Linked DNA regions of Pelodiscus sinensis. The protein of the gene in region 2 interacts with the protein of the main gene of each other region in a pairwise test. Links are inferred from orthologs where the notes say so. Each region holds a gene or a part of one and is shown on either strand. Other genes may lie near its edges.

Region 1 (9,789 bases), about 14 Mb from region 2:
TGTTTTGTAGCAAAAATTAAATTGAAATAAACATTTGTAAATCTACTTTATATGGAGTCTGCAGAAACGTTGTATTTCCCTAACAGAATTAATCAACTGTTTTGTTCATTTATTCTATACAAAAAAGAATTTTCCTTATTCGTGGTGTAAAAAGAATGTCATAGCCTCTCCTGTTTTCCTGTGAGAACAAAAAGCTTTTGTGTTTATGGAGTCAATGTCCTTTTTATGAAAATAATATTTTTTTATGATATGAGGCCTCTCACATGTGACATAGCTTAGGGCCTCCGAGTGTCAGAATCTGGCCCTGCTCCTGAGGTGGGGCCAGCTGAGATTTATTCAGAGTTGGTGCCCTTGGTGCCTTTTTCAGTGATAAGGTTAAGATTTTATCATGGTTATCTCTCTCTCTCTCTCTCTCTAAAAAAAATTCCTGCGGGATGACAGAGTGATGTCATCATGCCACTCTGCGTCCCGCTGCCCGCCCTCCGCACTCAACCGCACAGCCTCCCCGCTGGCCCTGCCCCAGGAGCCCTGACCACATGACCGCTCCATGAAATGGTGGGGGCGGCGGCTCCATCCCTTTGCACCCCCTGGAGCAGCATCCACCTCCCTCTGAGGCCTGCCCCCAGCCTGCCTAGCCCATGCGCCTGCAGTGCAGCTTTGCTCTGTGTAGCCTGGGCCTAGCCACAGCGCTTGGGGGCTGTGCCACCGGTCTTCCCCTGAGCGAGTGGCTCCCGCATGTGCCGGTGACCTGGGGCCAGGCCCCTGGCTCATGCGCGCTGTCCTGGGCCTGCCATGAGCTGGGCTGGTCTTGACAACACCGCACACATGGCCCTTTGGGGATGGCTTGGTTACACTGCACCCGGCTGCTTCCCTGGTTCTCCGGAGCGGCCACTCTGCACTCCAGGCTCCCTGGGCTCGCCATGGAGCAAAGCTGCCCCAACAGACCCTTTCAGAAAGGCTGAGCTGGGGATGGGCTGTGGCTCTGCTGCGGTGGCCAGGGCTGTGCTGCCCAGCCTGATGGTGCTCCTGAGGGAGAGGGGCACGCAGCTCAGTGAATTTGTGGGAGAGTGCAGGGTGTGTGTAGGAAGGGAGGAAGGGGAATAGGGTATATGTGGGGATGGGTGGTGGGGTAAGAGGGGATGGATGGGGTGAGGGGGATATAGGAATGGAGGCAGGGAGATGGGCAGTGTGGAGGTGGGGAGGGGTTAGGGAAGGATGGGTGGGTATAGGAATGGAGGTGGGGGTAGGGATGGAAGGAGGGGTTGGGCAGTGGGCCAGGGAACCCTGAGATAAGGACTGGTGACCCAGATTACCCCACCAGGCTCTCTTCCCCTGTGTCCTGGTTCTCAGTAGATTGCAGGCATGTAACGATGGGGGCTTCCCCATGGTTCCATGTCTCTTCATTGTGCCCTTCCTGCTGGCACGTGCGCTCCTGCTGCGGGGCTGGTACATGCTCCATGCAGAAAGGGCGCAATGGAGAGACATGGAACCATGGGGGAGCCATGGAGCACTACACATCTGGAGCGCTGCCGTCCTGCAAAGACGGGCAGTAACAGGATGCGGAAAATGGGTAATTCCCTCTCTATCTGGCTGCTTGCATGTAACCCAGCCCCTGCCCATCGCTAGTGAGCCAGGTGTCCAGGAGCACCTGGAACGAAAGGGATTTGTTTGGAGTTGGGCCCCATTTTACTAATTGCGTTTGGTTTTCATTTACATGTGAGGCCCACGAGCCCACAGAGCACAACACTTCCTGACAGGTCACTTTTGCATAGACCCATGCTAGCCGCCAGGAGAGGCTCCGAATTCTGCATGCGAATATTTTATTGGTGGGTGGGGCAGGAATAGGAAGGTTGTGGAGGGTGGGGCGGGGAATGGCTGGCAATTGAAGGGCACGAGCCAGTGGGATGTCTGAGAGCATTCAGATATAGGGGCCTGTCAAGGGGTGTGGTGGAGTGGGAGCAGAGACAGGTGTGAGTGACTTGGGGCCATGGAGAGTGCAGCTGGGCTCAGTGCAAGATTGACAGGCTCTCTGGCTGTGAAAGCAGCCCATGAGAGGGCGGTTGGTGAGCGCAGTGAGCAAGGGATGCAGCCCCGTAGTTTTTAGTAAGTCAGGGAAAGGTCCCAGGCAATAGACAAAAATTCATGGAAGCCTATGGCCTACCCCTTACTTTACTAAGAATGCTCTTGACAGAATGGGACTGGTGGGGGTTTGAAACCCCACAATCTATTGTGGGAGGGTTCAGCACCTACTGCCACTGCAGATGATTGCTCTGGTGTGTCCCCAGTGCCCCTGGCAGCTCAGAGCTCTGGGTCCCACCTCATCCACGGTGGCTGCTTTTTTGACAGTACTGATTGTAGTCTAGACGCTCGTTTTTGAAAGAGGCTTGCAGTCTAGACGTAGCCACAGTGTCAAGATTGTTAGATACTGCAGTCACATGGCTATGCAAGCACATGAGAATGGCCATATGGGGTCAGACCGATGGCCCATCTAGTCCAATATCCTTTTGGATAGTGCCAGTACCAGATGCTTCAGAGAGAATGAACAGGACAATTGCAGAGTGATCCATCCCATGTCATCCAGTCCCAGCTTCTGGCAGTCAGAGACATTTTATAGAGCTATATCATATTTTCCCTTAGTCATCTCTTTTCCAAGCTGAAAATTCCCACTCATTAATCTCTCCTTATCCTGAAGCTGCTCCATCCCTTATTCCCCTATTCATTTTTGTTGCCCTTCTGTGTACCTTTTCCAATTCTAATATATCTTTTTAGGGATGGGACAATCAGAACGGTATTCCAGGTGTGGCCATACCATGCATTTATTTAGTGACGTTATGATATTCTCTGCTTTATATAGTTCCTCACATTCTTTTTGCTTTTTTGACTGCTATGCATTGAACAGATCTTTTCAGAGAACTGTCCATAGTGACTCCGAGTTCTATTTCCTAGTGGTAACAGCTCATTTCCATCCCGTCATTGTGTATGTATAGTTGGGATTATGTTCTCCAATGTGAAGTTAATCTGCCAACGTGTTGCCCAGTTTTGTTGCCTCACTGTTTACCCCATTTCCAGAGCACTATGAATAGCACAGGTCCTAATACAGATCCTTAGGCGACATAACTGTTTACTGCTCTCCATTTTGAAAAGTGACCATTTCCTAACCTTTGTTTCCTATCTTAGGGTATGTCTACACTACCCCGCTAGTTCGAACTAGCGGGGTAATGTATGCATACCGAACTTGCTAATGAAGCCCGGGATTTGAATTTCCCGGGCTTCATTAGCATAAAGCCGGCGCCGCCATTTTTAAAAGCCGGCTAGTGCGAACCCCGTGCCGCGCGGCTACACGCGGCACGGGCTAGATAGTTCGAACTACGTAGCCATTCCGAACTATCTGTACTCCTCGTTCCACGTGGAACGAGGAGTACAGATAGTTCGGAATGGCTACGTAGTTCGAACTATCTAGCCCGTGCCGCGTGTAGCCGCGCGGCACGGGGTTCGCACTAGCCGGCTTTTAAAAATGGCGGCGCCGGCTTTATGCTAATGAAGCCCGGGAAATTCAAATCCCGGGCTTCATTAGCAAGTTCGGTATGCATACATTACCCCGCTAGTTCGAACTAGCGGGGTAGTGTAGACATACCCATAAACTAGTTATTGATCCATGAAAGGCCTCCTCTTTTACTCCATGACAGCTTACTTTGCTTAAAAGCCTTTGGTGAGGGACCTTGTTAAAAGTTTTCGGAAAGTCTGAATACACTATCTGCATTGTCCACCTTGCCTTGTCCACATGTTGATCTCTCAAAGCTTGCTAATAGATTGGCGCAGCACGACTACCCTAAACAAAAGCCATGTGGACTGTTCCCCAACAAACAAATCATGTTCATCTGTGTGTCTGATAATTCTGTTCTTTACTATGGTTCAACTAGTTTGCCTGGTACTGACATTAGGCTTACTGTAATTGCCAGTATTGCCTCTGGAGCTTGTTAAAATTCTTTTTAAAAATTGGTGGCACATTAGCTACTCTCAGTTTCCCATGTAAGTGATAGGCTACTACGGTTTCAAATTTGAACTGTTGGGTAAATACCATCTGGTCCTGGTTTCATTACTGTTTAATTTGTCAATTTGTTCCAACTCCTCCCCTACTGACACATCAATCTGGAACCATTTCTCAGATTTGCCATCTAAAAAGAAAGGCTCAGGTGTGGAAATCTCCCTTGAATCCTCTGCAATGAAGATTGATGCAAAGAATTCATTTAGTTCTTCCACAATAGCCTTATCTTCCTTCAGTGCTCCTTTGGCACAATGATCATCCAGTGGCCCCACTGAATGTTTGGCAGGCATCCTGCTTGTGATGTCAGTTTTCCAGTCGTTTGCTAGTTCATCTTCAAATTCTTTGTTGGCCTACGTAATTATACTTATATTTGACTTGCCAGAATGTATGCTTCTTTCTATATTCCTCAGTAGGCCTTAACTTCCAATTTTTAAGGATGCCTTGTTGTTTAGCCACAGTGGCATTTTTTGGTCCTCGTACTATGCTTTTAAATCTGGATTATACATTCAATTTCAGCCTCCATTATGGTGTTTTTAAAAAGTTTCCATGAAGCTTGCAGGCATTTCACTTTTGTGACTATACCTTTTAATTTCCATTAATTAGCTTCCTCATTTTTGTGCGAGTGCCATTTATGAAGTTAAATGCTTGTGTGGAGTAACTATGTAAGCGGTCCTCAAAAGATGAACTAAAGGTTTGGTCCACACATGTTGACTGACGATTCCCAGCAACTTAATGGGACTCTCTTCAGTGGCTTCAGTGGGCACTTGATCACACTCTACTTGACCTGCTGCCCCTTTGGAATAAGGAGTTGGCCAACATGTGGGTCTTGCCAGGCTGTTTCTGAGAGGAGGAGTATGTGAAGGGGGTTAAGGAGTAAGTTAAGGAGTATTCTCTGGTGAAATCTTGTTTATTTGCAAAGAATGTCCATATAGTCCTGTGTCCCTGATCACAGCAGGAACAAACAACCAGCCGTGTTCCTTCTCTCAGTTTCCAGGCCTGCCTCTCCAGCCAGCCCTAGGAGCTCTGTCTCTCTGATGCTCCTGCTGTGTGCTGGCTGCCTTTCTCTCCTGATCACAGGCTCAGCTTGCTAAGCAACCTCCCAGCCCCTGCATTTGCAGTCAGTCTCAGGGAAACCTCACACCCAACATGGGTCAACCAATCTCAAGTTTTGCCATACAGCTGATTGCCTTGGGTGGTTTCTGTTGTCTCCAGCTCTCCTGCTCCATAAAAGGACTTGATTGCTCTTTCCATTTTTCCTGAAAGAAAGGTAGTTCACATGGCCAGTGGCTTTAACCAGGCTGCCATTGATACCTGCCATCATGAGCAGAATTGCCCCGGGAGAAGGAGCTGAAAGGAGCTGGGTGATGGGGCATAGCAGCAAGCCTTTACGTAACAGTGATTCATTCCAGAACTTTGCTGACTTCATCTGTGATGCTAGAACCCATTGACAAAGCAGGGTTCTAGCTGAGCTGTTAAATGATGCAGAGGGAGGTGAAAGGAGTGGCCAAAGGGGCTGAAATGGAGGAGGGCAGCTCCGGTGAGGGTCAGGCCATCTCACTGTGTGTGTGTATATATATTTAAGGGAGCTATAGACAGAGGCAGTGATAAAGAGGAAAATGGATGGATGGAAATCCAGCATGGATTCTCCAGGAGGAAACATGGTAGTGTCTGGGGGGAGGGCGCGAATCACTCCCAGGCAGGGAAACTCCTCAAAAGCTAGAATAGGAACCTAAGAGTCTCTAATCTTTCTCTCCACTCATCGTCTCTTCCCTGTTTCTTAGAAACACCACAAGATCAGTACAGTATTATTCCCTTCCCACCAAACTGTATCAAACCAATAGGCCCATGTAGTCTGATATCCCTCTTTCTTGTCACCTAAGTTCACCCCACTGGGGTAAGCTTACCCAGTATTCCACCATCACTTTTCCCAGCAGCCCGAGATCAGACCCATGGATCAAATAGCCAGATAGCTTAGCTGGTCAAGAAGATGATGATGTCAGGGGATTTGATGGGAGGATGTCAGGTGGTTTAGGGGATGATTTGGGGCAGCAGCATCCAGCAGAATCAGAGGGTGACTGAGAGGAATAGCGTCAAAAGGTCTGGGATTGGGAAGGATGGTTTCTGGAGGATTTGGGGGTATGTTGGGTGGATTTGAATGACAGGGGCTGGGAGGCCAATGTTGGGGGAATGGTATTGAGGGTGCTTGTGGAGAGGGCTTACAGAGATAGAGTCAGGAGGCTGATGGGTCGTTTCAGTGGACACTGTTAAGAGTTGGGATTTGATTTCAGTGGCAGGATTGGGGAGTTGATTTTGGTGATTAGTGTTGGGAGGTTAATTTCAGTGGGTTGTGTCACAGGATTAGAGATTGATTTTGGTGGGCTGTGTTCCAGAGTTGGGGGTTGATTTTGGTGGGCATTGGAGTAGGCAAGTTGATTTCAGTGGACAGTGTCAGTTGATTTGGGTTTGGGGTTGGCTCTTTTGTGCAACATCATAGACTTTGGGAGTTGATTTTGGTGGTCAGTGTCAGGTGTTTGCATAGGTGGTGGTGAGTAGACTGGCAGTTAGGGGAGGCTAGACTCCTCCCTATCCGCCAGCTCCCCCCCACTTCTGTCCCCTGCTGGAGGCAAGAGTCCTCCGCTGCTGCTGGCTTTCCTCTCCCCAGGTCAGCATCCCCTCCTCATCCAAGAGCATGTAGCAAGCAAGGAGCACAGAACATGTGGCAGGCAAGGAGCGTGGAGTCTGCAGCACCCCCAACCATTCCCAGAGCACGGAGTGGGCTCTGCAGAGCTCCAGACTCCAGTCCCACAGCATGGGGCAGGCCCCACAGCCACAGAGCCCCTAACCTCAGGGCCAGAGTGCGGGATGGGGTGGGTGCTGTAGTTGTAGAGCCCCTGACTCTGGAGAACGAGGTGCCACTGCAGCACCTCCACTGCTGTGCCAAGAAGGGCACCAGCCCAAGACTGGCCAAATCCGTGCAGCAGGTTGTTTGACCCCCACACCATCCCACCTGATCTGCTAGAAGAGCAAGAAGGCTGGGAGTGAAGCATGGGCAGGGCACACCAGGCTGTTTGGGAAGGCTCAGCCTCCCCCTGCCTACAATACTTGCTGCCCCAAGTTTGATTTTGGTGGGCAGTGCTGGGGGGTTGATTTAGAGGGGCAGCATCGGCATGTGAGGTTGGCACATTGATTTTGGTATAGGGTTGCCAGTTTTGACTGGACACATTCCTGAAGGTTTTCATACACAACATAATTAATTTTTGATTCCAGGACAATCCTGGGAGGCTGGCAACCCTCATTTCTGTAAGCAGTGTTGGGCTGGGAATTAGGGTTTTTTGGTGTCCGGTATTGAACTGGACAGCCCGGTATTTGTGCCTTCTGTCTAGTAAAATTCCTGGTCCCGTTTTTTTTCCCCCTCAATAACCTTTCACGTGGCTTTTTTTTTTTTAACAGAATTTTTTCCCTGCAGTTTTTTTGGAAAGGAGGGTGGGGTTCGGTATTTTTTGTGAAACCATCTGGCAAGCCTACTGGGAATTGATTTGATGGGCAGTGTTGGGGTTGGTGGATAGTGTGAGGAGTTTTTGATTCAGTGACAATGGTATTGGGGAGTCAGGGTAGTGGTGAGGCACAGTGGGTGGAGACATCGACCCCTGTTGTCAATGTGGCTTTGATCGGACCCCCGCGGGCTCTGAACACGACAGGATCCGGCTATTTCGCTAATGGTTGAGTCTCCTTTGCCTCATTAACTGTCATGGTGGCTAGTGAGGAGCGGGCAGGAGATGTATTGTGAGCTACTTCCGCCTCCATAACTATCATGGCGGCTAGGTGAGGCTCAGGACGGAGACGAAAGAATTTAGAGCTACTTCCGCCTCCGTAGCGGGAAGGATAGGTGGGCCGCCGCGGTCGCAGTGGCGGGCACCAATCAGCTTTGTGGGGGCGTGGCCGAGGGACGACCTATTCATATAAAAACAGGCTCTAGGGCGAAGGGGGGGGCGTTGCATTCCGTGGCAAGCGGCTGAGAGGTGGGTGTTGCCGGCCCGCTCAGCTACCCCTCGCTGTAGCGCCCCCGTCCCCACTTGTAACGCACCCCCTCCCCGCAGCCATGTTCAGCTGGGTGAGCAAGGACGCGCGGCGGCGCAAGGAGCCGGAGCTGTTCCGCACGGTCTCGGAGGGGCTGAAGCAGCTCTACGCCACCAAGCTGCTGCCCCTGGAGGAGCACTACCGCTTCCACGACTTCCACTCCCCGGCGCTGGAGCCGGCCGACTGGGAGAACAAGCCCATGGTGCTGCTGGTGGGGCAGTACAGCACGGGCAAGACCACCTTCATCCGGCACCTCATCGAGCAGGACTTCCCGGGCATGCGCATCGGGCCCGAGCCCACCACCGACTCCTTCATCGCCGTCATGGGGGGCGAGACCGAGGGCATCGTCCCGGGCAACGCCCTGGTGGTCGACCCGCGCCGGCCCTTCCGCAAGCTCAACGCCTTCGGCAACGCTTTTCTCAACAGGTGAGCGGCGCGTGGGCCGAGCGGCGCCCTCTGTGGCTGGGGCCGTGCCTGGTGTCCCGCGGTTCCTCGCCCTGTGGCTGTGGGAGGGGCTCAGCCTTCCTCACGGGGGGGGGGGGGGGGGAGTGGTGCGAGGCTGGATTTGCCTTTGCCACGCATGGCCCCCTTATCTTCTCGCCCTCCCCAGGTGAGGGGCTGGGGGCGAGGAGTCTTGCGGTGCCCCTCCTACCTGCAGCCGCTGCCTCAGTGCGTTCTTCAATAGGGGAGTCTGGGTTTGTGGGGGGCATCGCGTGGCACCCCAGTTTAGTGCCGTCAAGCGGTGGGACCCTAATGTGGATGCCCTAAGAGCGGGCCTGGGTGCAAGGGAGCCTGCTAATTCTTCTGGCAGCCCCCAGACTCTTGTCAACTTTCTTCATGTGGGTCCCTGTACTAACTTCGAGGTAGTGCCCCCTCTCTGGAGGCATGACTTTGGACGTCCAGTAGCTAAAAGACATGATCACTGGGGTTCTACTCTTAGATAGGATTGAGGAACTGCCATTGTGCATTTAATGCTGGGCTGTACCTAACAAACCATCCTGGTGCCTCCAGCTATGTGTTGGGTTTGAGACAGGCCATAAGCAACTGTCACAGGAACTGACCCTCCACAAATATTAACTGACTCTGTATTTGCCCAAGCTGTAATGGGGGAAAAATAAAGTAACATTAAGCAAGTTAACTTAAACTTCTAAAACTCCATTCCTTGATACCAAAGAGGCTAGTAACTCTAAAAGGGTGCATAATTCATTTAAAAATCTTAATAGGGCAGCTTCCCTCTACAACTGGGAGCCCAGTTATCTGGCCCTGTACTTGATAGCTGGAAGGGGGTTCAGGAACTCTTGGAAACAGAAGAAGATGGCTCTATTACATGGCAGGAGAGTGCCCTACATCCCTGGTTCCTGGCTGGTGCACAGCCTCTGGTTTTTATGAGAAGGCACTGTAATGTAAAATCCCATTCTCTAATCAGTTAAAGATAGCTCCAGCATCCTGGTCAAAAGCAGCTCCTGACCATGGGTGCCTCAAGTAGGGATTGTTCCCATGTCGCTGATGGAGCAGCTGCTGCCTATGGGGTACCCTGGCCTGCTGTAGGCAGAGGCTGTGCTAAGGGCATATCTACATTACCAGGAAGATGGGAGCTGCCAAGGTCAATCTGCTAAGTCAAATATTGGAAGATCTACTGGGGGCATGCTAAATAAATGCTGAGGGCA
Region 2 (9,605 bases):
AGACAGTTACTCTCCATTAGTGGCTAGTAGGATAACCCAGGCCCACCCATCACTCCAGATTCTAGTCCAGGGAGCCTAGCACACTGTCAAGCTCTGCTCAGTCCCTAGTCCTGCTGCTTCCTGTTTACCTCTGATAAGCTTTCTTCTCCACCTTTCTCTTTGGGTATGCCCTTCCCCCAGAGCCAGGTCCCCAGCCTCTAACTCTTTCCCTGGATTTCCTCTAATGCACAAAAGATGGCTACAGACTTTCTTGATAGCAAGTTAGAAAAATGGTCAGAGGTAAACAGGATGAAGTTTAATAAAGAGAAATGCAAAGTGCTCCACATAGGAAGGAACAATCAGTTCCATACATACAAGATGGGAAGCGACTGTCTAGGAAGGAGCATGGCGGAAAAGGATCTAGGGGTCATAGTGGACCACAAGTTGAATATGAGTCAACAGTGTGATGCTGCTGCAAAAAAAGCAAATATGATTCTAGGTTGTATCAACAGGTGTGTTGTAAGCAAAACTCATGAAGTCATTCTGCCTCTCTACTCTGCACTAGTTAGGCCTCAGCTGGAGTACTGGGTCCAGTTCTGGGTGCCACATTTCAGGAAAGATGTGGAGAAATTGGAAAGGGTACAGAGAAGAGCGACAAGAATGATTAAAGGTCTAGAGAACATGACCTATGAAGCCAGGCTTCATGAACTGGGCTTGTTTAGTTTGGAAAAAAGAAGATTAAGGGGGGACATGATAGCGGTTTTCAAGTATCTAAAAGGGTGTCACAAGGAGGAAGGAGAAAATTTGTTCCTCTTGGTTTCTGAGGACAGGACAAGGAGTAATGGGCTTAAAGTGCAGCAGGGGAGGTTTAGATTGGACATTAGGAAAAAATTCCTAACTGTCAGGGTGGTCAAATATTGGAATAAATTGCCAAGGGAGGTGGTGGAATCTCCCTCTCTGGAGATATTTAAGAACAGGTTAGATAGACATCTGTCAGGGATGGTGTAGACGGAGCTTGGTCCTGCCTTGAGGGCGGGGGGCTGGACTCGATGACCTCTTGAGGTCCCTTCCAGTCCTATGATTCTATGATTCTATTATTGATGCAATCCCCTTTCTGCTGTAAACTTACTACTTTCATACCAGTCCCAGGTGTTACTCCCCAGCTGGGCTCCATCTCCAATCAGTCCTCCAGTTGCTGGCTCTTTCCCAGGGACAGCCCATCACAGTGTCTTGCCAACTCAAGGAAATGCATGGTCCCTGCCCCAGAGAGGTTACAATCTAATGTCCACACACTGTAAATTGATCAGTATAGGCCAGTGGTCTCCAACCTTTTTAAGCACAAGATCACTTTTTGAATTTAAGTCAGTCCAGGATCTACCTCAAACCCAAATACCCCTGCTCCACCCCTTTGCTGAGGACCTGCGCTCCTCACTCTATGAATATGGGGTACAGGGGAGGGGGACAGAGTGACATCAATGCCCCCTGCCTCTCTTGCCCCCACCCTGCATAACAAGCAGGAAGCTCCCGGGGCAACTCTGAGGCTCTGGGCAGTAGCAGCTGGGCAGTGGTAGGAGGGACAGCTGAAGTGCCAGCGCTTGATAGTCTCCCAGCCAAACCAGTCAGGATCACCTGTCAGAGGCTCTAAGATCTACTGGTAGATCCCGATCTACTGGTTGGTGACCACTGGTATAGGCTGACCCCTGCCAGGCAGAACAAGTCACAGGACTAAGGCCTTAGAGCTCAACTCTGCAAATACTTAGGCTGATGACTAATGTGCCTCCTTGGCAGAGAAAGATGCTAACTAGAGATGTGAGACAAGTGAGGTCAGTAGACAAATGTCATGGAAAGGGGAGGTGGGAAAGAGGTTACAGTAATAAAATCAGATGTTTACTCATCTAGGCTGCTCCTAAAACTGGATCTGCAAAAGCAAAATCCCATTGACTTCAATGAGATACACATAGATGCAGGGGTCCACCAGCATAAAAGCTATTGGGGATGTAAGGGATGCACACATCTTGATGTCTCTATCAAATTCGTAATTAAAATATGTAAATTGTATTTATTTGCCACAAGACTGAAAGATGCTAGAGAGTATTTCGTATAATATAATAGTGGTACAACAAGTAAGCTAGTTAAAGAGTTCTCCAGATTGATCCAATTTTCATCTCTTACTTTCTTTTCTCTTACATATGCTCCCTAGACACCTAGGTGGAGTGCCTTAAAAGTGCCTAGATAAATAGAAAAGCCACAACATAGGATCAAAACAGATACGCAGTGAAGTTGGATATCATCTAAATTTAGAAAAAAACAACAAATGGTCCGGTAGCATTTTATAGACTAACGAAACATGTAGACGGTATCATGAGCTTTCGTGGGCACAGCCCACTTCATCAGATGACCGGAGTTATACTTAGTCAACTGTCATGTCTTGCTTTATTAGCTTGCTTTATTAGTGCAGCAATTTACTGTACAGTTTCATTCTTTTCCAGTCCATGTGAACAGAGTTCTGTATTAAAATACTTAGCAAGGACTCTATTTGTAAAAAAAAAACCCACATTTTTTAAATTCTTTTAAAAGAACTGTTCAGGTTCTTAAGAATTTTTGGATCAATATGCCCTCTTAGCTGATTTTTAAACGGGTATTTGATTTTTTAAGGTAACAGTTTATTATATACAATAAAATTTGTTAATAACATGGGGGAGCAGTCTCTGACTGGGGCAATTTTTTTAACAGCACCATAAAAATCTCTCCTCTGCTTTTCAGAGCAAATGGGTTTTGAGCCTGCACTTTCCATGCTAAGCAGGAAAGTGATCATAACTGGGATTTGCATTCATTTTCACAGCTGTTTGATTTTCTTTACATAATTGAACCAAGAGTATATTGTTTTGAAAAGTGGGGAGTAATGGATACAAATAAGAAAATGGGTGTTTAAAATTAAATGAGTTTGTTTATTTATAACACTATTATTCCTGTGACTAAATCAGATCAGTTCTGAGCCTTTTAATTTCCCTTCAGGTTTTTGTAAAATTATAGTTGTCCAACAGCAGAATGGGGTAAACTCAATAATATGAAAGATGCTCCTCTGCCATTTGTACTGATTTTGGGGCCCTATGTGGGCAACAATTTGAAAACACACTCCACACACCTTTCCTTCCCAGCTTCCTTTGAAACATTCATTGGAAAGGGGGAAGGAGACAGTCAGAATGAGATGGTATCTGCCACAAGGGCAAAATATTCAGCCCCTAAACCTGCAGATGGTTTGAGATCTGAGTGTCCCAGAGTAACTGTCATTACCACATGTATCTCACTGTCTGGTCAATTCCCATGGTCACAAACATACATCAGATTATTCTTTCACCAAAGTGCATATTTAGGCTTTTCTTATAATTTCTTGTTGTAATGCAGTCACCCATTACCAAGATAGTTCCCCAATTATCACCTCTAATACCATTAACTCACAAACATCCCACTCTCCCTACCTCTAATATCATCAATTCACAGACACTTACCTTCCTTCCTCCCCCCCCCACCCCGCATCCCCCTCCTGTTCTGCAATGTGATTTGTCCTTTTCATATTTGTTCATTTTTTTTAATTGTATCCTTTGGTATATATGGTTGTGACTACTTTCTTCCACTATTTGATCTGAGGAAGTGGGTCTGGCCCACGAAAGCTCATCATCTAATAAACCATCTTGTTAGTCTTTAAAGTGCTACATTGTCCTGCATTTTGCTTCAGTAAATAAGCACTTCTCTTTTACCTCCAAAACATCCCCTTGCTGCCTGTTTCTATTTATATCTTCCCAACTACCTCATTAGCCTCCCTGCCCAGCGTTTTTTGCTCTATATGCCTGGTTGGGCACCTATCATGGACCTGCCTCTCCTGGTACCACATCTTTGCAAGGTAACACATGGGGAAAGGGTGGGTTATGTAGGTTTACCCCCCATCCCACCTCAGTTTTCTGACAGGGTTCACATCAGAACATGACCCGCAGCATCCTTTTGGCACTATGCAGGAAAGGAAGGGATGGAAGCTGCTTTCAGCTACAGGGGAGGAGGAGGTGGGGAAGGGATGACCTGGCTCATGTCTTTACAGCACTCATCTCTTACTCCTCCAGCCAAGACCACCTCCCAAAAACCTCCTGTGGCTGAAAGCAGCTCCCCTCTCTTCCTGATGATACAGTGTGAAAAGGCAGCTAACCCCTCCAGCATGGATGGTGGATGAACTCCTGGCTTGGGGAGACAGCCCTCAGCTCCACCTCTTCCACCCAAAGCCCTGCCCCTTCCATACCCAATGGCCCCAACCCCTCCTCCCATTGTGGCTGCTGGCCTTGGAGCCCAGGGTTGCCAGGCAGCACAGCCCCAGACCCCCAGCTCCAGAGTGCTGGAGAGCCAGGTGAGCAGCACAACCTCAGACTCCCTGGGCTGCAATGCAGTGCCTGGTTGCTCCCCCTGCCCATGAAGTCCCTCCCCACCCAAGCCGTCAGCCCCAGCACTGCGCAGGCAGTGGACCCAAGGGCACATGCACCACAGTCCCAATCTGCCTGCCCTCACCTCAGGGAACAGGCAGGAGAGCCTAAAGGTAGAGCATGACCTGATGATGCCACAGACAACCCAGTCACCTCTTGTTCCCTGGCTACAGTGAGGGCAAGAAGGAGTTAAGCCTGAAGGCTCTATTGTCTACTTCAGGGATCAGGGAACTGGATTGCAGGGGCTTCAGCGTACCCAAGTGACTCGGAAAGGGGGAGCTAGTGGACAGAGCACCCCGGGCTCCCTTGGGACAGGATGGAATGTGGGGGGAGAGGGGCAGGTGAAAGGAGGGTGCTAAGCACCTGCCTGAGGGGCTGCTGTGGAGCCTGCCTATTTGAGGAGCAAGCAGGATGGAAATCGCTTTCCCACTACGACTCTAGAGCTTAGCTGAGAGGTGGACAGGATCCTCCAGATCCTCCATGTCAGGGCTGTGTGTGGATTTGGCACATGTAGGGCTTGACTTCTCCTGCCCAGTGCCCAGGGGGGAGGGTTCTGGGCTTTTGGGGGGCACCGGCTCCCAGCCAGAGGCAGTGAGAGGGAGGAAGAAGCCTCCAGCCAGGCTCTTGGTGAGCTGAGCCCTCTGACCAAGGGCTGGTTCTGTGCACAGTGGGAGCGGGACGTGCCCTGCCAGGGGAGATACAGACGAGTAGTGGGATGGGAGAGACAGGTGAAGGGGCAAAGCAGTGAGACTACAGCAATGTTCCCGACTTGCTGCCTACACCGTTCTGCTTACAGCCCCAGCACCGTGTGTGATTCCAGGAGAATCTCCGCTTTCATTTAAATGGTTGCAGAGAAAAGCGGAGCCCGTAACTGGAGCGTACCCCGCTAGCAGGGAAACCCGAAAGCAACGGCGCCTGCCCCACGCCAGACCCCCATGATTGCTGGGGCTGGCAACCCTGGAGATAGGGCCTGACAATGCAGCTTCCATAGAGCTCACAGCCCCCACTCCCTAGCCTGCCCCTGCTCAGAGCCCACGAGCCGCCCTGGCCTCTCCTTGTCCTTGGCCCCTCCCCTTTCCCAGCCTTTGCCCCGGCGATCTTCTAAACCCTCCCTTTCCCAGCAGCCACTGCTCCTCGATCCGTGGACTCGACGCTCGGCAGTGGCGCCTCGGTCAAGCCCCGCCCCTCCCTGCTGTCCCGGATGAGCCTGCCCATCTCCTCCCATCGCTAGCTCGGCGCTCGGCCTGGGCTCTAGCCCTTAGCGCAGCTGGGCCGGGCCCGCGGCCCGGAGCCGCCGCCTCGCCTCGCCTGGGAGCCGAGGTGAGACCCGCCCCGGGGTGGGCTCGGAATCCGGCCCGCGGGCCTGCGCTCCGCTCCTCGGTTGGGGCGCGCCCCTGGGTCCGCAGGGCGGGGGGATTCCTCTCCTCTCGCGCGGGACAGGGCGGGGCCCTTGTGGGGAGTAAAGGCGGCCCGGCCCTGGAGCGCGGGACCCTCCCCCTTCTGGCAGGGGCAGCCCCCCCCCGTCGCAGTGGGGTCGGGGGCGCCGCGGTCCTGATGTTGTTGCCAGAGCTCGGCGGGGCGGGGCGGGGCCGAGCCCGCTCCCCGGGGCGGGGCGGGGCTCGCAGGCGGCCACACGTTGCTGGCAGAGCTCCCCGGGCGCGTTTCGTAACGGTCGGGGTGTCCCGTGGGCACTTGGACCCTCCCCCATCCAGTTGGGCGTGGCTGGACTGCAGCGCGTCCCCCTCGGTGCTCCCGCCACAGCGCCCCTCTCAGAGCGTCACCTCCGTGGGGCGGGTGGAGGCACCTGTCGCAGGATTTCCATGCTGAATAGTCTCCCAAGTGCTTCCTAGGAAGCCACTTCGGTGGGTGAAACGTCCCGAACACCTCTTGCAAGTTCCCACGCTCCCCCGAGGTTGACATTAGTCTCTAGGACAGTGTTTCTCAACTCTTTTGCTTTTTATGAAGTGCCCCCTTTAAAAAAAAATTATAAGTACCCCCAGTACCTACCGTTTCAGAGGCAACATTTTTTTCTACCCTTGCAATACATTTGTTTCAACAACTTAAATGTAGCCGGGCAGGCGATGAAATTTTTGGGTGTAAGAAGTACACAAATAATAAAGTGGTGTAAAATTTAAAACAAAATTCAGTTTTCTCCAAATTTCAGTTGTGTTGCCGTACCCTGCAGACTTCTCAGACTTCTCTCGAGTACCCCTAAGGCAGGCATGTCCAAAGTCCGGCCCGCGGGCCAATTGCGGCCCGTGTTCCGGTTTAATACGGCCCCACAGGTAATTTGGCAATATCTATCTTTTAAGGCCCCCAACGAATCCATATGTATTGAGATGAATACATTGTAAAATCTCAGTTAATGTCAGTTGGTCTAAATCAGTTATAAATATATTTGGACACAACATGTATACTTGGTGTTATGTTCCTGTTCATATTTTTTGAACTTAAAAGTTGACAGACAACCTTTATTACCAATAATATGTAATGTACTTTACAATGTTCCTGACATATATTTCAGCTTCCTGGATTTTTTTTTCATTTGGACTTCAGATATGAAAGGCAGAGTGATTTAACACCTGTTTAGATTTGTGATCCATGTGATGAAATGAAAAGTATGCCGTTTGCAATAAACTTTGCATAAAATAGTTAATTTGCATTTAATTTTAATGGTTCAAAGAATGTCAGGCAAAATGGTCGGCCCTCACGCATGTTCACTTCATGAAATCTGGCCCTCTTTGAAAAAAGTTTGGACTCCCCTGCCCTAAGGGAACTCATACCAGTGGTTCAGAAACACTGCTATAAAAAATGAACATACAATCCTACAGTAACGCACCCAATAGTTGTATTTTTAGTACAGTGGAGCCCAAAGATCAGTATGGTTTAACTTCATTCATGAAGGTTTATCCTGGACATTCGAGGAAATTGCCCTCTAAAGTATTTACCTGGAATGACCCAAGTATTTTGAGTCAGACTGACCATTTTTATTTACATTTTATTTTCTTTAGCTTTCTTTGTCATTTGTCATATAAGTTTTCTTCCCTAGCAAAGGATCTTATGAGAAACTTGTGTTTTACACCCTCTAAGAGAAGTTAAGGGGCTGGGGTATAAAAGGAAGGGTCCACTGAATACTTGAGGGTCTCATGCAATATGTGATATGAGGTGAAGTATGATTTAGTCTAGAGGTCCCAGACTAAATCATGAGTATGTATGTGTACCTCTGCGGGTATACGGAAGTCTTCTAGGCTAGGGCATACATCAACTCATTTAGATATTTACATAGTTTAACAAGGTACATAAAAAACATTAGCAAAGTCTGTACAAACTAAAATTTTATACAGTGACTTGTTTACATGGTTCTATAAGCTATATGCCAAAATGTAAGTACAATATTTATAGTTCAGTTGATTTATTTTATAATTATATGGTAAAAATGAGAAAGTAAGCAATTTTTCAGTAATACAGGTTGAACTGCTCTAGTCCGGCTCATTCTGGTCCAGCAACATCCATGGTCCAGCAAGATTTTATTTAGCCAGATGTCCATTTACTATGGGTGTGGCCAAGTTTCCTGCAGTCCCATGAAGTGTGTTAAAGCCCTCATTCTTGGCTCTAGTGTTCTGTGCTGTTGTTTAATTTATCCCTGAATGTCTTCCAAGAGCCCAGTAAACAGTGGAAGTATTGGTAATACTGTTAGACAGTATTGACCTCCTGTGGTTCAGAAAAACCTCTGGTTTGGCACTGGTCAGATCCCCAGGGTACCAGACTAGAGAGGTTCAACCTGTAGTGTGTTGTGGCACTTTTGTATTTTTGTGTCTGGTTTTGTGTCTGGTTTTGTAAGTCCAGAGATTTTAAGTGAGGTGAAACTTGGGGGTAAGGTTCAGAGTCTTGAATGGGTTATAGTAGTCTGAAAAGGTGAGAGCCACTGCTTTAGTTTCTTCAGTTGTCTGTGGAGCAGTGTTCTAGGAAGTAACTGGATCATTAAAAGATCAGATAGCTACTGAGTTAAACTGTTCATCCTGTTTAAAACTGCACTGTGCATCTTTTTCAGATTGCTGTTTTGCACAAGCTGCAAGGAAGAATGCCACTTGCTCTTTGTTAATTCATCAGACATAATGCTACAGAACAGCATATTGCTGTTCCACTGCTGCTAAGTTTTGGAGGACAACAGTATACCACAAGTGCACAAAGCATCATGGCATCAGGCTACCCTCCTCCATTTGATGACTCTGTGGAAGTGAGAGAGGGTTTTCTCTGTCCCCTGTGCCTGAAGGATCTGCAGTCTTTCTATCAGCTTCAGTCTCATTATGAAGAAGAACACTCAAGTGAGGACAGAGATGTCAAAGGACAGCTCAGAAGTAAGAATCATGACAACAGTTTTAACTTCTGCTGTGTAAAATTATGTACAGTGAAATACAGCCGCTCTCTGAGTTACGAACCAACACTTGGTCCGTAACTTGAACTGTTCGTAACTCAGATCCCATAGAGTTACATGGTGACCATGCTGTTTGTAAGCGCAGATCGCCGTTCGTAACTCGGATCAGCATTTATAACCGCTTTGGTCGTAAGTGCGGATGGTCATAAGTGGAGGTGGCCGTAAGTCGGGGAGCGGCTGTATGTTTGTTGCACTACAGATTCCTAAGAGCATCTCAGCTATAAGTCTCACTTCACTAAAATATTGATTAAAATGAGTTAGAAGTGGGGTTGGTTAATGTGTAAATGGATTTAGGCCAAAGAATTTTTGTACAGTTTCCAACAGAAAGTTTCAATAATGTTTTCTAACTTGGTTTCCTAATTTTAGGCAACTAAATAAGCGGCTTGATTTTCAGATACCTACTTTTAAGCGCCCAAGTTAGAAAATGCAGGTGCTTCACTTTTGTGAGAGTTCTCAGTACATGAAGGATTTATATTATTAGAATTAATAACAGTTATGCTTGCAGTTTCCGTGGACACGATCTCAAAAAATAAATTATGGATTTGTCATTGGAATTGAAGGTGGATAACTTGCACATAATTAAAAGTGGGGTGTGAAATTGACAAGAGCCTTGGCTATATTTATAGTGGATTTAATAATGCTGTTTAGGTAATCTATTTTTGTGATAATAAAAGATTCTTCTTAGCTTTTTGTTCATATACACTTCAGTTGTATGTGTTGAGTAA
Region 3 (10,107 bases), on a different chromosome or scaffold from region 2:
ACTGATGCCAACAGTTGTTTTCCTTACCAGGGGAAACATCCAGCCTAAGGGAATGGGCTTTCCAACCATTAATCATTATGGCTCTTGTGGAAATAGGTATTGTTATTCTGATCATTATGCTCCTCATTTGTATTCACTGGTTTGATTTATCAGGTGAGCCACAATTTGAGAAAACGGTGGGATGTGAGCAAGTTTCACCATGCAATCCCAGGTGTAATGCCAACAAGAAATGGAAACTTAAATGCTGCCCCTCTCAAATTATGAAAATAACTCGTGAAGTTTGGGCTAAAGGGAATGTTTATGAAGGCAGCCATGTTGGATGGGTTGTGAGAGCAAAGGGTCTCCATGATGGAGAAGCTTCTTCTCTCTACCTGTAAGGGAAGGTGGGAAGACAGTGTAAAAAGAAAAGAAAAAAGAAAAAAGAAAAAAAAAAGGGGGGGCTGGCTGTTGTTTAGCAACCAGAGATTACAAACACAGTGTGGCGCAATAGGTAGGAGCTGGCATGCTCTCCTTGCACGCTCTTGGGAGTGGAGGAGGGACCAGGGTCATTAACTCGCTCTCCAATGTTGAGTCATACTCCAGTCAATTGGCCTACCTGACTATTTCTTTGACCACAATGGGAAGATATCAGGGAACCCTCAAGCTTGCTGTTTTGAGGAAAACATGCGTTCATTCACAAATCCTCCAAGTAGTTAGGACTAACTCACCTGCAGGATGACGCAAAGCGGAGAGGGTTGGGTATCAGTTAGGGCACGATACTTTCCTAATAACCCTGGTCAGTGCCTCCTCCTCGTGCGCCAATTCTGTCTCTGCAGCTTGAACCCTGACTTCCTGCCGACACCTGGAGAAAAGTAGGGGAAGCATCTTTCTTCGTCCTCTTTTATTTGTAAAAATGTCTGGTTTGTGTGCTGTAACAGCTGCTCTCCCAGGGTGTATCTAGACTACAGGGTTTTTTCGAAAAAACTGTACCTTCGTCTAGACTACTGCTGCGTTCTGTTGACAGTAAATCAAAGGAACGCGGTGGTTTTGTCAATGGCGGTAAACCTCATTCTACGAGGAATAACGCCTTTTTTCAAAAGTCATCTTTCGAAAAAAGGCACTATTGCATGAAAACAGGGCTTTTTCGAAAGAGAGCATCAAGACTCTCTTTTGAAAAAGCGAGCTGCTTTTTCAAAAAATCGTCTTGTTGTCTAGATGCTCTTTTTCAAAAGAGGCTTTTTCGAAAGATACTGTTTTGAAATAGGCATGTAGTCTAGATGTAACCCCACAGAGTTAATCCTCCCTGTCTCTTCCCTTCCTCCCCTCACTTAGGTCCCTTCCAGTCCTATGATTCTATGAAACCATGATGGACCTGACTGACCTTGGTTTAGCTTGTGAAAAGCAAGACAACCACAAAACCAGACTATGGAGCAAAAGAATCCAGCCACTCAAAAACAGCTGGATAGATATTAGAATGGCTTTGCAGATGTACAGTTCATGAATAGTAGAGACAACCAGTAGAAGAAATTGCACCTTTTTAACCAGAACTATGTTGATTTCTTCAGACTTATCTCATTTAAAAAAATAGAGAAAAAATGCACAAACATTTTTGAAATTGGAAAATTGTGAAAAAAATCAACATGCTGTTTCAAACATTTTCAGTTGAGATGCAAATGCTTTAAAGGTTTTTGTTTTACTTTTACTTCTACACTATCTCAAGTAACTAAGGAAGAAACTGAGGCAAGAAATTTGACCTGCAAAAAATACAATAACAAGGTAATTTTCTGCCACAATGAATATATGTGCAGAACAGGTAATCACCATCGGGATTGTGAACTATCCAACTTCCATGATCCATTTGGAGATCAGCTGGAAGAACTACTTGTTTAAGTAAGTCAGATCATAAAAAGAAATCAACCAGAGATGACAAAATATTTAACCAATGGGGGAAAAACATATTTATTCTAAAATATTTAGTATCTTGGGGTATGTCTACACTACAGCGCTAATTCGAACTAACTTAGTTCGAATTAGTTAATTCGAACTAAGCTAATTCGAACTAACGCATCCAGACTAAAAAACTAGTTCGAATTAGCGTTTTGCTAATTCAAACTAGCATGTCCACATTAAGTGGACCCTGAACCGGGGTTAAGGATGGCCGGAAGAAGTGCCGACAGGGCATCAGATGAGAACTTAGAGCGTGGAGCTGCTGCCTCAGGCTAGCCAAGGGCTGTACTTAAAGGGACCCGACCCCCACCCCCCGGACAGACAGTTCTCAGGGGTGCCCTGCTTGCAAAGCAGTCCTGTCTTGGAGTGCCCTGAGTGCCCACACTGGGCACATCACAGCACTCGGCCATCAGACCGGCTGCACTTGCCGCAGGCTGCCATCTGGGGAGAGCGGGCAATTGGGGGGCTGCAGGAGAGCTTCCACCCCCAGAAGCCCACAAAGCCAGCCCAGTCCTCCCCATCGGGGGCTCATACCCCATTTCTCCCTCACCTCCTTCCACTTACCCTTCCCTAGCCCCCCTTCCTGATGTACAAAATAAAGAAAATGTGTGTTCAAAAATAGAATCTCTCCTTATTGAACAAAACTGGGGGAGACTGGGAAAAGGAGGTGGGAGAGGGGAAGAGAGAGGGTGGGAGAGGGGAGGACAACTAAAATGATCAGAGGTTTGGAACAGGTCCCATATGAAGAGAGGCTAAAGAGACTGGGACTTTTCAGTTTAAAAAAGAGGAGACTGAGGGGGGATAGGATAGAGGTCTATAAAAGCATGAGTAGGGTGGAGAGGGTGCATCAAGAAAAGTTCTTCATTAGTTCCCATAATAGAAGGACTAGAGGACACCAAAGGAAAGGAATGGGTAGCAGGCTTCAAACTAGTAACAGAAAGTTGTTCTTCACAAAGCAAAGAGTCAACCTGTGGAACTCCTTGCTGCAGGAGGCTGTGAAGGCTACAACTAGAACAGAGTTAAAAGAGAAGTGAGATAAAGTGATGGAGGTTGGGTCCATGGAGTGGTATTAGCCAGGGGGTAGGAGTGGTGTCCCTGCCCAAAGTTTGTGGAAGGCTGGAGAGGGATGGCACGAGACAAATGGTTTGGTCACTGTCTTCGGTCCATCCCCTCCAGGGTCCCTAGGGTTGGCCGCTGTCGGCAGACAGGCTACTGGGCTAGATGGACCTTTGGTCTGACCCAGTACGGCCATTGTAAGCTCAGGGCTCAGGGTCGGGGGTCTCAGTGGACCACCTTGATTTTCATGCACACCTGCTCCTGGACGGCAAGGCTGGCAGCTCTCCTGCCCTAGACGGCCACTTTCCTGTGCCTAGTGCGGAGGTCGTGGACGAGGTCCATGATGTCCGCACTAGACCAGGCGGGTGCCCGCCTCTTGCGGTTCTGGGCAAGCTCCCGGGAGCCGCCAGCCTGGTCCCGGGAAGAGGGGGAGGACTGGGGGGCATCGGGTGGCTGGCTCGAGCCGTGCCTGGTGCAGGGTCTGCCAGCTGGGTGCTGGCAGGCTTGCACCTGGCACGGGCATCGTAGCCAGCCCATGCCCCTTTAAGGGGTCCAGGGCCGGGAGGGGGGCAATAGAGTTTCCCTGGTGTTGGCCAGAGTGGCCACCAGGGAAAGCTGGAGAGGGCTAGCCTCCCACTAGTTCAAATTAAGGGGCTACACACCCCTTAATTCGAACTAGTAAATTCAAACTAGGCTTAGTCCTCGTAGAATAAGGTTTACCTAGTTCGAACTAAGCGCTCCGCTAGTTCGAATTAAGTTCGAACTAGCGGAGCACTAGTGTAGCTCCTATCAAAGTTAATTCGAACTAACGTCTGTTAGTTCGAATTAACTTTGTAGTGTAGACATACCCTTAGAGATAATGGAACCATCAAATGTAGCTCTTTTATATTCTTCATGAAAGAATGCTACAACAGAAATAAGTGAATACAAATATAAGGGTGATCTTGGCCTATTGGCTTCAGTGGGACAGAATTTCACTCCAATCTTACAAAATGATCCCACTTTCACAAGAAGTTATCTCTATGAAATCTCTTGTAGTTTCTGTGATTACAATAAACACTAGCACTGGTGGTCATACACTATCATTGCCATTCTAAGGTGACTCTTCACTGGAGACTACTAGAAAAGGAAAACCACATTTAAGAGCCTGAAAACCCTATTATCCCTTACTTGTTCATTCTTATTCAAATGCAAAGACTGTGTTTTGTATCAAATGGCCAACACAGAGGACCACTTTCATCCCAGTCAGTCTTCAGCAGATATAAATTGACTGACTGCCTTTCATGCAGAGTTGGAATTGTTTATGCAAAACAAATTTGGTTGCAAGATTCTTGAATGCAGCTTGAGTTTGGTCGGGGTATTTTCACTATCAAGTGTGTGTTATATGGACCACCCAGCACCAGGTAGAAGGTGCCAGAGCTTCTGACTTGCTGGGAGCTGTTCAAAAATGCCTCCTGACAGCGTTCTTAGTGAAGGATTTAAGGCTTGCCTTCAATACCATGCTACATCTGCCAACATAGCACATTTAGAGAAATGCTCTGTTAATGAAAGAGCGCTCTCCCTTTCCACCAACTTCATACCACACAACAGATATACTAACTCAAGAACCAAACCCTGCAACAAAACCTGTTGCCAACTCCGTCCACACCATCATAGGACCTAACAACAACAGCTATACCAACAGGGGCTCATTCACCTGCATATCTACTAATGTGATATATGCCACCATGTGCCCACAATGCCCCTCTGCCACGTGCCTTGGCCAAACCGGACTGCCCGTATGCAAAAGCATAAATGCACACAAATCAGACATCAAAAACAACTACATTCAAAAACCCATAGGAGAGCACTTTAACCTTTCTCAACACTCAGTAATAGACTTGAAAGTTGCCATACTTGACCAAAATAACTTCAAAAACAGACTGCAGCATGAAAATTCAGAGCTGGAATTCATATGCAAACTTGACATTATTAGGCTGGGGCTAAAAAGAGAATGGTCAGGTGAGCTGACAGCCTCTGTGGGCCTCTGGGCAAGGTGAGAGGTGGGCCAGCTCTGCACTTCTGGAAGAGACGGGGCCTCAAGTGGAAGGGGCGGCGGTAGACGCAGTCAGCCCTGTATGTTTCCTGGAGCATGGAGTACCTCCTCGCAGAGCCATATGAAGAATGCTGCACAGTGTTCCGGCAGTGATTTAAAGAGCCCAGGTCTTCAGCTGCTGCCACAACTACCCTCTTTGTCCCCATCAGCAGGCCTGATTATGGGAGTGGTTAGTTCACTGCAAAAAGTAATTTTCCCTCTTTTGATATTCACACCTTCTCATCAACTGTTGGGAATGGGCTGCATCCACCCTCGCCAAACTGACCTCGTTAGCTGGTCCTCCGCATAGTAATGCTACACTCCCATCTTTGCATGTGTATATATATCCCTGCCACACATCTGATGGTGTGGGCTCCAGCCCATGAAAGCTTATGCCCAAATAAATTTGCTAGACTTTAAGGCACCCCTGAGTCCTCATTGTATTTTGCTGAAACAGACGAATACAGCTATCCCTCTGAAACGTGTCATCTTCCCTCAGTTATCATGACTTCCTAATTCTCACAGAAACAAATGGAGATGACTGGTAATTTGCTTGTCTTTTCTACTTAGATTATGAATGATTCAGGGCAGCGACAGTTGTTAGAGGGTGTGACAGGCTGTCACTGACCCGGGGGCGGGACGGCCGGAGCCCCCGCCGGCAGGGGGCTGGCAGCCAGGTACGGATCCCCCAGTACTTCCCCAACGCGAACCGGAGGGGGCGGTGGACTGGGGCACTACCCCCGCGCCTGTGCCGGCGACGTGAGCACGGCCCGTCCCCCGAGGCCCCGCACGGCGAGGGCGGGGCGGAGGGACACGGCTACCAGGCAGGGCCACACGCCGGGACGTGCCCGGAAGGGGCGGAGCCCTGGGTGGCGGCCGGCGCGGCGGGCCGATTTAAAAGGGCCCGCCGCCAACGGGGCAGGGGGCAAGCTCCTCGCAGCGGCGGAGGGGCGGCCCCTGCCACAGGACGGAGCCCAAGCGCCACGCCGCCCGGCTGTCGGCCCGGCGTTGGTCCCGAGGCCTCCGGGACAGCCACTGCCCCTGGCAATCGGTCAGCCCCTCTTCAGACGGCGGACGGACCCCGCCGTGCCGGACCAGGAGGGAACGGGACAGCCAGGGCCGAACCGGGACCAGAGAACCCGCCCCAGAGACCTCGCTCGGACACCGGACGCCACGGACCGCCGAACCAGGGTAGGTTCAGGGGCACCGGGCGTGATCCGCAGGAGGCACCCGGAGGGAGGAAGGAGCCCGGGGCAGGGCGCTTTTGGCGACCGTGGGTGGACGAGCTTAGGAGGGAGTGAATCCTCCCTTCCCCCATTCACCGCGCCGGGGCACTAGCAAGCCCCGGCGCCCAGGGCCCCGGGCTGGGACCCGGAAAAGGGGCGGGACCGGGTCCCCTTCCCTCCCCTGTAGGAACAACCCACTCCCAACGACCCTAGCAAGGAGAACTACGATGCGGACCCCGCAGAGAGGGGAAACCCCGACCAGGGGCCGGCGCCCCACTCCGCCTGGACGGGTAACTATCATAAGGTTCGCTGACCCCCCCTTTCCCCTGGGAGGGGGTGATCGCACCCAGGACAGGGGCCCCCTAGCAGGGACCCGGGACCCAACAAGGGATCAAGAAGGGGTCAGAGGGTTCGCAGACCCCCCCTCTCCCGCGGAGAGGGGGTGATCGCACCCCCGAACTCCTACAGAGGGCTTATCCCTTCACCCTTCTACTTCCCTGGTCCTTTTAATGTCAACAGAGAACAGCAATACCCAAGACTGGAGATGCAAAAACTTCCATGTTTACTGGGGTTAGCTTTCAGCAAGCATGATTTCAGTTTTCTTTCTTTTTCCCCTTGTTTTTCTCCTCTCTCATTTCCTGTTTGTTCCTAATATATTTAGCAATAATTTCAGGTCTACCTTAACCAATCATTCTACTGAAATTTAACTAACAAATCTTAACATATTGAAATGTGATTATCTAACCAATTATATCCCACCACCTTAGTTGGTTTACACCCAGCAAAATTAATTATTCAGGAGACACAAACAATCAAAGAACCAGTCAGAACCATACAAATAAACAATAGAGAAATGGGAAACATAATAATAAAGCAATACAAATTGCAAATTTTGCAACCCCAAATATTAATAAGTCCTCGCCAAATAGAAAGCTATCAACCCACTGGCTAAAAATGTGCCAAAACTGGTTTCCCAGCTTATGGATGCCTCGGTTTCTTAACCTAAACCAGTTTGAAAATAAGGTCTTAGGCCATCATATACAAATACTGTGATTTTAATTATTTGGTTTTATACCTCTGTAGGAAAACACCTAAATTCTTACAGTATAGGCCGTAAAAGGCAGGCCTGAATATCTATATCCTAACAATAGTCTCTTATGTTTGGATGATTTTAGCAAAGCCAATACAGAAAAAATAATTAACAATAATTCAGACTCTGTAGACATGCCCAGTGTTTGAAGAGGCAATGGAAAATCAGCTCTCTGACTTCTAGAGCAGTGGCTTTCAACCTTTATTTCAACCAAATAAAAGATTTGCAGACCCCCTAAACAATTTTAAATGTTGGTGCAGCCCCTACTGGAAATATTAGCTGTAGTCTGCAGATGCCCATGGGTTCATGGGCCACAGGCTGAAAACTATTGTCCTACTGCAGTGGTCTCCAATCTTTTTAAGCACAAGATCACGTTTTGAATTTTAAATGCAATATAAGATCTACCTCAAACCCAAATACCTTGCCTCACCTACTTCATGTCCCTTCTCTGAGGCCCTGTCCCTGCTCACTCCATCCTCCCTCCCTTCCCCATCTTCCCTCCCTTTCACCAGGCAGAGGCAGCAGGTTGCGGCACAAACTCTGGTCTTGGGCTAAGGGATCTGGAGTGTGAGGGGGCTCTGCGCTGAGTCTGGGGCAGGGAGTTGGGGTGCTGAAGGGAGTTTAGGGTGTAGTCTTTGGGAGGGAGTTTAGGTTCATGACTAGGGCAGGGGTTCAGAGCTGGCTCCAGCTGGACGCTGCTTACCTCAGGTGGCTCCTGGGTGGTGGTGCAGTGGGGCTAAGGCAGGCTTACCGCTGCCCAGCCCTTGCATCACTCCCAAAGGCAGCCAGTAAACTCCCTCCATCCTAAGCTCTGTTGTGCTCCCTAGCTCTGTTCTGTGGAGATAGGATACAGGATGGGAGAAGGGGCACCCTGACAACAGCACTCCTCCTGTCCCTTCCCTGCTCTGTGCCACAAGCAGGAGTCTTGGGGCGGAGGGAGCTTCAAGGCAAAGGGCAGGAGGTGCACAGCAGTGGGGAGAAGGGCAGCTGAAGTGCTAATCTTGATAATAGCCTCTTGGCCAAACTAGTGAAGATCACCTGTCAGAAGCTCCACGATCTACCAGTAGATCCCGATCTACTGGTTGGTGACCACTGTCCTATTGGATAGTACACTGCATAATCACTGGAGCAACAGCAGAACCTCTTCACATTTCTGACCTTTATTCCCAGTTATTCTCACTGAAATAGGAGGTCGCTGTGTATCTGCAGTGTCCGCCATGGAGCAACTTCGGATTTAAACTGGCTTCCGTGAAAGGAGAATCAGGCCACCAAAAATCTGTTGGATTTGTCTTTTCTAATCAAATTTCCATGCTACAGTTGGTGGAAATACAAATGTGACTTTGTGAAGACTGTGCAAAATTAAATCTCTCTTCTATCAAGGTGCACATTTTCTTTCCCTGTCTGAAACAATGTACAACCAAAGAAAAAACTAGATCTTTTGGAACAAATTATTTCTGTTTTCAATACACCAACCTGCAAAGAGTATTCAAGTTCCGGGGGGGGGGGGAAGCGGGGGGAGGAAAAAGCAGAGCTGAACATACATAATATGTTGTGGTGCTTAATACCTTATGCAATATAGCAGGCTTCAACCAGCATGGGACAGATTCTGCCATTATAGTTACTGTTCATTAAAATTAAATGGAATTGTTGACAATAATTATTTGTTACGGAAGTGTGTTGTAAAAGAGAACGTGGCAAATCATATATATAGTAGCCCAGTGTCTGCCCTCTGGGCAGCCCATGATGCATGGGAAGTGCGGGGCCCAAACGGCCACTTGCTCCCCCACGGTGGCCTGGCTGAGCGGCACAGAAGTCAGCCGAGTGCCACGGCGGGAGGCGAAGGGGGGCGGTACGGTGACATGTGGCGTGACAGTGGCTCCAGGCCCCGCCCCCTGGCTCTGAACATCACCACCCCGCCCCCCTTCGCCTCTTACCATGGCGCTCAGCTGACTTCTGTGCTGCTCAGCCAGGCTGCCGCATGGGAGCAAGTGGCGCAAGCAACCATTTGGGCTCCACGTTCCTCATGCAGCACAGGGAGTGTGGAGCCCAAACGGCCGTTTGGGCTCCACAGACCCCCGAGTAAGAGGCAGGAGGGGGAGAAGAAGAGAAAGAGAGAGACAGAGAGAGAAGCAGGAGGCAGAGGAGAGCTGAGAGAGTGAGAGAGAGAGAGAGAGAGAGAGAGTGGGAGGCAGTAGGAGGAGAGAGAGAGACTGGAGGCTCAGGAGAGAAGACCGATGTGGAGGAGAGACCTGAAAATCCCGTCTTATGATGGGCTAATTGGCAAGTATAAAAAGGATAGGATGTAAGCTCACATAAGCTCTCAGCCTGCATACAGATGTCATGGTAATGGCAACATAGGTTTGCCTAAAGAAGAAACAAACACAAATTGTTTGCCAAAATTCAAACTGAATCTTTTCAGTAAAAGTCTGAAAAGTTTGAAAGTTTTCCTTTGCCTGTCATCTTTGCTAGATCTGCACTTTCGAGTCCACCCCTCTTGCCACTAAAGTCAATGGGAACTCTATCACTAATATAAATGAAACCAGGAGCAGCTTGTGCCCAATTCCAGACAGGGCCAAAACTGGAGATGTTGAACCTCGAAGGTTGCTAGGTATCCAGTATTCAACCGGACAGTCCATTTTTTGCCCCCTCTGTCCAGTAAAAAAAATCCAGAAAATACCAGACATGTGCAATGTCCGGTATTTTCTGCTTTTCTGGCTGGGCACCTGACAGAAACT

Evidence for each region.
Region 1: the proteins of RBSN (region 2) and EHD1 interact in binary tests that used the Homo sapiens proteins (3 or more experiments, as listed by UniProt). The link is inferred for Pelodiscus sinensis from reciprocal best matches to the Homo sapiens genes RBSN and EHD1.
Region 3: the proteins of RBSN (region 2) and EHD3 interact in binary tests that used the Homo sapiens proteins (3 or more experiments, as listed by UniProt). The link is inferred for Pelodiscus sinensis from reciprocal best matches to the Homo sapiens genes RBSN and EHD3.

What each region holds. Positions count from the first base shown.
Region 1 is NC_134721.1:35,024,930-35,034,718, forward strand, and holds the start of EHD1 (EH domain-containing protein 1), read left to right. Parts: upstream 1-5,511; 5' UTR 5,512-5,521; coding exon 5,522-5,582; coding exon of another isoform or gene 5,583-5,606; intron 5,607-8,142; coding exon 8,143-8,548; intron 8,549-9,789. UniProt on the Homo sapiens protein: ATP- and membrane-binding protein that controls membrane reorganization/tubulation upon ATP hydrolysis. In vitro causes vesiculation of endocytic membranes. Acts in early endocytic membrane fusion and membrane trafficking of recycling endosomes.
Region 2 is NC_134721.1:20,570,605-20,580,209, forward strand, and holds the start of RBSN (rabenosyn-5), read left to right. Parts: upstream 1-5,604; 5' UTR 5,605-5,765; intron 5,766-6,519; exon of another isoform or gene 6,520-6,730; intron 6,731-8,496; 5' UTR 8,497-8,640; coding exon 8,641-8,803; intron 8,804-9,605. UniProt on the Homo sapiens protein: Rab4/Rab5 effector protein acting in early endocytic membrane fusion and membrane trafficking of recycling endosomes. Required for endosome fusion either homotypically or with clathrin coated vesicles.
Region 3 is NC_134713.1:158,568,566-158,578,672, reverse strand, and holds the start of EHD3 (EH domain-containing protein 3), read left to right. Parts: upstream 1-5,993; 5' UTR 5,994-6,247; intron 6,248-10,107. UniProt on the Homo sapiens protein: ATP- and membrane-binding protein that controls membrane reorganization/tubulation upon ATP hydrolysis. In vitro causes tubulation of endocytic membranes. Binding to phosphatidic acid induces its membrane tubulation activity.